2 linked regions of the Danio rerio genome follow. The protein of the gene in region 2 purifies or fractionates together with the protein of the main gene of each other region. This does not show direct contact. Links are inferred from orthologs where the notes say so. Each region holds a gene or a part of one and is shown on either strand. Other genes may lie near its edges.

Evidence for each region.
Region 1: the proteins of nrbp1 (region 2) and tsc22d2 purify together in Homo sapiens (affinity purification with mass spectrometry; 5 studies listed by BioGRID and IntAct, with this or other methods). This does not show direct contact. The link is inferred for Danio rerio from reciprocal best matches to the Homo sapiens genes NRBP1 and TSC22D2.

What each region holds. Positions count from the first base shown.
Region 1 is NC_133197.1:37,220,864-37,225,368, reverse strand, and holds the start of tsc22d2 (TSC22 domain family protein 2), read right to left. Parts: upstream 3,194-4,505; 5' UTR 2,665-3,193; coding exon 1,319-2,664; intron 1-1,318. UniProt on the Homo sapiens protein: Reduces the level of nuclear PKM isoform M2 which results in repression of cyclin CCND1 transcription and reduced cell growth.
Region 2 is NC_133195.1:28,699,461-28,703,461, reverse strand, and holds part of nrbp1 (nuclear receptor-binding protein), read right to left. Parts: intron 3,312-4,001; exon of another isoform or gene 2,707-3,311; coding exon 2,653-2,706; intron 2,561-2,652; coding exon 2,497-2,560; intron 1,595-2,496; coding exon 1,539-1,594; intron 1-1,538. UniProt on the Homo sapiens protein: Required for embryonic development. Plays a role in intestinal epithelial cell fate and proliferation, thereby involved in the architectural development of the intestine potentially via the regulation of Wnt-responsive genes.

The sequences.
Region 1 (4,505 bases), on a different chromosome or scaffold from region 2:
GACCACAGCGTCTTCCGGTAGAATGCTAAAAACTTCCGTTTACAGCGTGTACAACTGGTCATTTGCGTTTCGAAAATGGGTTTCAATGACGTTTTTAATGGATAACAGAGTGTTTTTGTGACACACAACTTAGAAATGTGTCTGTTAAAGCCGTTATAATCTGTCACATGTGCTTCAAGCGAGAGAGAGAGAGAGAGAGAGAGAGAGAGAGAACCAGAGTACTGGCATGAAACTTAACAGGTATGAAAGTCGTGCAATTTACAAAAATGAGCAATAAAAGTCTGTTATTGATCCTCTGCTGGCTGATTTGCTGTTTATTCTAATCGCGAGCCGTTTGTGTTTTATTTTGTGTGTTTTTTTGTCATTTCGAAATGACACTAGCCTATATTTAAACTTTGTCACAGTTATTAAATCAGTGTGTCAGTGGCACAGTACAGGCTAAGTGTGTGTCAAACATTTTGGTGAACTACATGTGTTTGGGCTGGTTATATATTTGAAATAAAGAGAAAATGTTGACTTTAGCGATGACAAGGCTTCATTTAAACTGCAGAAGATGCCGTCTGACACCGAGGGGAAAAAAGCCTCACAGCAGCTGTTTTCCATCCTATTAGATCGCATTTCTTTAAATGATCAGTCCAGGAGATGGTGCTGATGGACAACAGTATTAGTTCAAAGAGGATAAAAGCATGTAGAATAGATTAAAACTATCGTTTCAAAGCTGTCCAAATGTGACTGTTTACAGTTACACGCATCAGCTGCCGACCGGAAGTTCTTCGCATTCTCCTTGCGCATACACGCAAAGCATAATGGGTAATTTTGCGTTCTAAGAAAAACGTCTATATGAAGCTATATGGAGGTCTTTTTATCATGTTTGGGATCCATGGCCTCTAAAATCTGTATCAATAAACAAAAAATATTTTTTTAAAATAAATTAAAAATGTTTTTAATATCTTTTTCCATCTCAGAACCACATACTTCACTAAATTAATAAATATTTAATAGAATTTATATGAATAATTGTGGATACTTGTCATCACAGTCACTGAAAAACATCCATACCATGGGTCTCCAGGACATGTTTGTGTGTTAAACCAACCACATTCATTAAAAAAAAAAAAAGTCAATAAACAAGCAAAATACTCAACAAGAAACCAGAGCACAAACTCTGCCTCAGACACTTCCTAGGAAAAACCCAACTTTTCAAAGCAACAAGAGTCCTTCATGTGCAAATATTTAAACACCTGCAATAAAATGTGTTATTTACTGGCAAAAGAACCAAACGCCCAAATGAGCAATGACAGCGAGAGAAAAGCAGTACCTGTCCTCGTCCCCGTCGATGGGAAGGGCGATCCCGAACAAGCTGTTGACCGCAGGTGTGTGGAGCTGCAGGCCCTCGGGGTTCAGGGGTCTGATGGAGAGTCCCGAGCTCTGCTGCAGCATCTCCGGCTTTCTCAGGCCCTCGTCTATGGGGCCAAAACCCGAGAGGCTCATCTGTGCACCCAGTCCCACAACTGACCCGCTGGGCACTCCCTGAGGCTGGTTCTGCTGGGGTGCTGCATTCTGCTTTGGCACACTCTGAGGGGTATTAGAGGCACTGGACATTACAACAGGCACATTTTGCACGCCGGCGTGAGAGCTGACAGACACGGTTACTGCTGGCTGGATGAGCGGCGCTAAGGCCTGCGCCACCATGCCCATGCCCGGCTGAACGGCATGCTCCGGCTGGCTAATGGGAAGGCCCATCCCGAGTAAATGCACACCCCCGGCTGCAGGGGTCATGATGGGCGATGGGCCCTGGGTTAGGGGGGTAACCAAGGGAAGAGTGGCCACTGAGACCACCGGGGAGCCTGGAGGCTGATGCTGCGCTCTGTAATCTGTGACTAAAGTCTGAAGCACCTGAACGGGCTTCTGCAGCGGTTTACCTGCGTAAAACGGCTGCGGCTGGGTTGTGGAAGGCATGCTGGGAGATTTGGCATCGCCAAATGGGTTCTGCGGTGCAATACCGAAGGGGTGCTGCTGGAGCTCGACTGGAGGGTTTGATGGTGCAGAGATGTAGCCACTATCTGTGTGCGGGTCTGCGGCAAGCGTGGAGACATGCGCAGCCGCCCCATCCTTGTCCACGCTGTGGTCAGTGTGTTTGACATTATCCACAGTCCGGCCAGCATCAGTGTCCCGCTCATAAAACTCAGTGCAGGTCCATCTACCTCTCTTGAAGGGTTCACCTGTACCATGGTCTAACTTGATGACCCTAAAACGGGAGCTGCAGGTGCTCACTGTGGCCGAGCTGCTGACTGATGTTGTGTGTGCGGTGTTTGGGGTGGAGGTTTGGGCAGAAACAGAGGCAGGGCTCATCTGGCCCGCAGCTCGGGCACTCGGGTTCATCTGAACAGCACTCGCATTGCGCGAACTGTCCTGGACAGATGTTTCGGCTTCGCTATGCAGCGGTTCGTCCGTCAAACTGACGTCACAGGCCTCCGGCTCGAAATCTCCACCTTTGGACATGTCGTATATCTCGGACGAGGACACGTCCTCAGTTCTGGTGGAGTCGTCCGGGTCGTCCAAACTCTCGGTGTCTTCCGTGTTGTTGTTTGCCGCCACCTGCGACTGCGTTACTACGCTCGTGATCTGAAAACAGCTCTTCTTTTTCGACGGCATTTTAGACATTTTGACCGCTTTAGGTGGGTTTTTCTGGTTTTACGTCAGACTGTAGGGCGCAGCTTCAATTTAAGCGCAGTTCCTGTAAAACTGTATGCTATAATTTTCAGTTAGCGTCAAGCTAACGTTAACTCCAGAGATCCGCGCGTCCTCATCGCGGCATTGTCAGACCTTTAGTTGAGTTCAAAGTGTACTCACGAAGCTCAAACACAACGACAGCTTTATTCCAGCAGTGTTTAATCCTCCCGAGCCCGTGTGCTTACTCTCCGTGGCCTAAATGAAGGCCATGTCCCGGTGTGAGAGTTTCTCTCAGGCCGCTGGCGCGGATCAAACTCCAGCCGCTGGACTCACTCGACTCTGAGGCGCGTTCAGCTTTCAGCGCTCCTCCGTCTGAAAAAGCACGTATCCTCCAGAAAACACGCTGGACAGGCATGCCGACGCGTAATAACTCATGTTGACTGTCTGTTCCTGAAGTTATTTCAGCCTGAGAGAACAGAATGCGGGTCTGTCAGTCTGTGTGCTTTCAGCTAACGGCTGCTCTTCCTCTGCTCTACACAAGATGGCTACGTATCGCACGCGCTGCACTATGGGTGACTGCGCACAGCCGCACGTAAATCAGTCGAGAATACCGAGCGCTGCGTACGATCCTTGTTTGTCAGAGGAAACAAATTCAGACGGCAAATATTTGTTTTCTAACAACAGAAAGTTTGTAATCCTCATTTTACGGACTCTCTTAATGTTTTATTTATGAATTAATTAAAACGATTGTTCTCCTTTTGTAGGCTTTATTAATAAAGAAGTTTTATTTTTCAATGATTTTGTCCCATACGGTAAAATATTAATACAAATATATTTTTGAACATATATATGTTTTACAATACATTATATGTTTCAATCCCAGAAAATACACTCATATGTAGGGCTAACATTAGGACAACCTTTATTTGCACATTAACCAATCAGCAAACTTGGCCTAATATTAAAGAGATAAATTAGATCTCCATACACATATGTAGGAAATGAATTTTGTTCAAACTTAAATATATTTAGATATATTTATATAAAAAATATAATACTAACACATTCTAGCAGTGTGCTAAATCCTTAAATAAAAATCCCAAGTAATCTATCTATTCTATCTATCTATCTATCTATCTATCTATCTATCTATCTATCTATCTATCTATCTATCTATCTATCTATCTATCTATCTATCTATCTATCTATCTATCTATCTATCTATCTATCTATCATCTATCTATCTATCTATCTATCTATCTATCTATCTATCTATCTATCTATCTATCTATCTATCTATCTATCTATCTATCTATCTATCTATATCTATCATCTATCTATCTATCTATCTATCTATCTATCTATCTATCTATCTATCTATCTATCTATCTATCTATCTATCTATCATCTATCTATCATCTATCTATCTATCTATCTATCTATCTATCTATCTATCTATCTATCTATCTATCTATCTATCTATCTATCTATCTATCATCTATCTATCTATCATCTGTCTATCTATCTATCTATCATCTATCTATCTATCATCTATCTGTCTGTCTGTCTGTCTGTCTGTCTGTCTGCCTGCCTGTCTGTCTGTCTGTCTATCTATCTATCATCTACATGTCTGTCTATCTATTTGTTCGTCCATTCTTCCATCCATCCACCCATCCATCCATACATCCATCTATCTAGAAATATATATATATATATATATATATATATATATATATATATATATATATATATATATATATATATATATATATATATATATGTCTGTCTGTCTGTCTACATGTCTGTCTATCCATCCATCTAAAAATCTATGT
Region 2 (4,001 bases):
TACTATGTGAAGCAGCCATCCTGCGTCCAGTAGTAACGAGTGTGATGCAAGTCACATGACATAACATGCACTAAAATACTAACTTTAGAATATAATATTTAGAACAAATCCTCATCATTACTAAAACAATTTAATCAAATATGATATTAAAGATGTGTTTAAATTGGTTCAATTAGTTAGAGACAAGTGACGTCAACCTCAACAATGGGCAGCAGGGGGCGTGACTATTTCGGTTTGGTTTTAATATCGTTACACCCCTAATGTCCGAATTCATAGAACTCGAAAATCAGTAGGGGAGAAGTACCAGGATGACTTACTACTTCCGGCGAGATTCTGAAATGCGCATCCCATGCACGCTGCGCTATCCCATAATGCCCCATGAGAGAATTCATGAATGGAAGTGAGGAGACGCAACTGACGCAGGTAGGTCACGTGACCATGACAAACTGGCGGATGTAGTACGTCCGAATTCCATTCATACTTTTCACATTCATACTGTATAGAGCGTACTTTTTTAACGGCTGAGTAGTATGTTTAAATTCAAATGCAGTAGCTACTGAGTAGTAGGCGGTTTCGGACACAGCCTTAACTTTGTGACAATTGTTTTTTTTTAAATGTCAATCTTCATTGTTCAATCTGGATTAGTTTGATCTTACCAATACTGATCCAAGACAATAACATACCACCAATGAAAGATGAAATAGAAAAGTGGCCTAAAAAAAAGCAGTGACCTCTTACTGGACCAAGCAATAAACTATATACCTCATGAAATATACCAGAAAGAGCTCTGAGGCTGACATTACAGATTAGGATGTGTATGATTTTTTTCAATCCAACGATCATTAAGCATGTACTTATTTCATTTAATCCACACAAAAAATATATTTACAGTTAAATTTGATTCAAATTAAGTACTTTGGTTGATATTTACAAACGTTGTGGTGAAATGACACTAATGACACTATTTTAAAGTATAATTGTTAGTGTTCATGTAGATTAAAGAATCCTTATTAAATAGGTTAAAAATAAAAATTTTATATTTTAAATTACAAACAATTATACATTAATAAGTTTTATAATAAATATATATTTTGAATAAGTTACAAATAAACGCATATGGGTCAAATAGGAGTTGTCCAATTTTAGTGACCACGTTAAATAAAATTGTCAAAAGAATTTAATTATATTGCATGCACATAAAAAGAAAGTAATGTCTACTTCAAAACTTAACGCTTTAGTAACTAAACATAAAAACATGGATTATGTTTTGAAACATGACACTTATGTTGAAACGAAACGACATGCTTGTCCTGACCTGTGCATATCAAAATATAACATGTCATTAAATAATTCTTGTAAATATGCCTGGTAAGATTTTAAAACAAAAACTATTGATAGAAAAACTGAAATTTTGGTGTGAATCTTTAGGAAATGGTGAAAATAAACAAAATACAAATGTTATGTACAACTGGGAAAAAACAAGGTCGTAAAACATTTAAAAATTGTTGTGTTCAGCACATCTAAATGAAGCTTCTTACCTCACTAATGAAACCAAGCTGGACCAGTTCCACAGCCAACTCCTGTACATTCTCATCTAACACACACACACACACACATCATTCTTAAGTTAGTACTGTTTTTGCAATAATTACACATGCAGCTTATTTATTCCACATGCTCATGTTTAGATAGAGTGTTGCGTTTCTTTGATATTATTATAGTAGGTAGTGCTGTCGCCTTGTTTGAGCCTCGGCTGGGTCAGTTGATGTTGTGATGTTGTTGACCCCAAATTATTAAAGGGACTAAGCCGAAAAGAAAATTAATAACTGAATGTCTCTGATTATTTTACTTCTAGTTAAATTGGGTAATTTTTTTTGGGTTATCATTTGTATAAAAAAATATAATTATTTTTGTTTTGTGTTTATAAATATATGCAAATTAGAATTATAAATAATAATTCAGTATAAATAATTCATAATTTATAACATACGTGATGTTGCATTTGTGTCTGCATCAAATAAAATTGATAAATATGATAAAGAAAGCAATCAAATGAAGTGTCCAAATACTAATTAAGTTCTAATCATTTTAATTTTATGAAAATTAGGTGTCAACATGTGGCAATTCTTAATCAATCTGATGCACTTCTGAACAGCTCTAATGCTTCACTGACAGTTCAGAACAAAAACAAGAATGTTAGACCTGAAACATAAAACATAACTATGGTTTAAATCCCTGCTGGATTAAACCGAACATGTACTCGGGTAGCTAGCTAACAGTTTTACCATCTCAGCAAGCTTCTGAGCTAAGCTGACTTGAAAGACAAAACCGACTGCACTGATGCCCATTATAGCATCTCTTGCAGCTGAGAACGCAACACACTTGTGCAGCATTGTAACACGTTTAAGGGCACGACAGAATGTGAAATCCAACTGTGTAGCTGGAAGTGTTTACATAGTTGTGTAGAGTTTGTTTGAGGCCTGATAAAATACTCACTTGGTGCCAAATCACAACTCAAGTGTCGGTTCAGCTTATCTTCCAGTTTTAGAAGTAAGGTCAGCTATAAAAAGAGAAGTGAAGAGTTATGAACGTAGACTAAACCTATAACATCAGCCCAGTAATAAACACAGGGGACACAAAAAAAGAACTTACATGATGTTTCGCTCCTTCCTCAACAGGCTCAATGTTGCACTGCATCTGTACGACCTTAAATGAGAGAAACAGAAAGCGAGCGAGCGAGAGAGAGAGAGAGAGAGAGAGATTATGACAAAACACATGACCCCAAATAACCTAATAATAAAATAAATAATGCTGACTATATCCCATACAAATGTTTATAAAAAGTTCAAATTATGGTTTTATGGATTTGTTATGAAATACAGTAGCCTAGTGACATTTAGAATAAATATACAACCACCACCACAAGCATACATCATTAAAAAAGGAAAATACAGTATATTCTATTACTTCTAAAATGTTAACAATATCATAATAATTGATATAAACATTATTTTATCTAAACTAGTTACTATTTAATTCAAGTTTATCTGTATGGCACTTTTCACAATAATTATAGTTTCAAAGCAGCTTTACAAAACATTATTGCATTACAATCAAATTTAGAAAAGTTAAGGTTATCAATTACCATAACTTTATAAGCTACTAACAATTTTAACTAGTAACTAATAGCTTTTAACAAGTACTATAGCTTTTTACAGTTAACACATGTCAACTGAAGAATTTTTTATCTGAGCTGAGCGTATTTTTTCAGTTGATGCCAATAGAAGCACTGTTTTCAGTACACCAGGGGCCTCATGTACGAAGACTTGCGTGGAAATCTTACTAAAACATTGCGTACGCACAAAGCTGTAAATGTGCGTACGCAGAAAAAAATTCAGATGTATGAAACACTGCGTACGCCGAATCTCACGCATATTCTTTTGTACATCTGAATGAACGTGAAACTGAGCGCAACATGCACGAGCACAAAACCACTCCCTGCCTCCTCCCCCGTATGAATATGCTAATGACTATGCTAATTGCAAAACCCAACGAAAAAGCAACGGCAAAATCAAGCAAAAAGAGAAACTTTGAACAGAATGTGAACTGGAGGTGCTGCTTTCGGAGGTAGACTGGAGAAAAGCGGTGTTATTTGCAAGTTTGTTCTCCGGAATTAACAACAAAAGAAAAAAAATAGAGTGGGAGAGTTTAGCTGATACGGTTAACACAGTTGGGTCTGAACATCGCACTGAGTGCATTAAAAAAGAAATAGTGTGGTTTATATCTGTAAAATGTTGCAGTTCTCTTAGCAGTCTCAGTGGCGCACCTCATAAGAAGCATGTGATCATGTACTGACACGCTCGAGCATAAACTCGGCTCGAATCCAGCGTCTGATAAACTCTTTCTTCTTTTTTCCCTGCTACATATCAGATTTTGCCCACTATTTATCACGAGAAAGACAAGTAGGAATCACCAATAAGTTTGTGCATCATATTTTATTT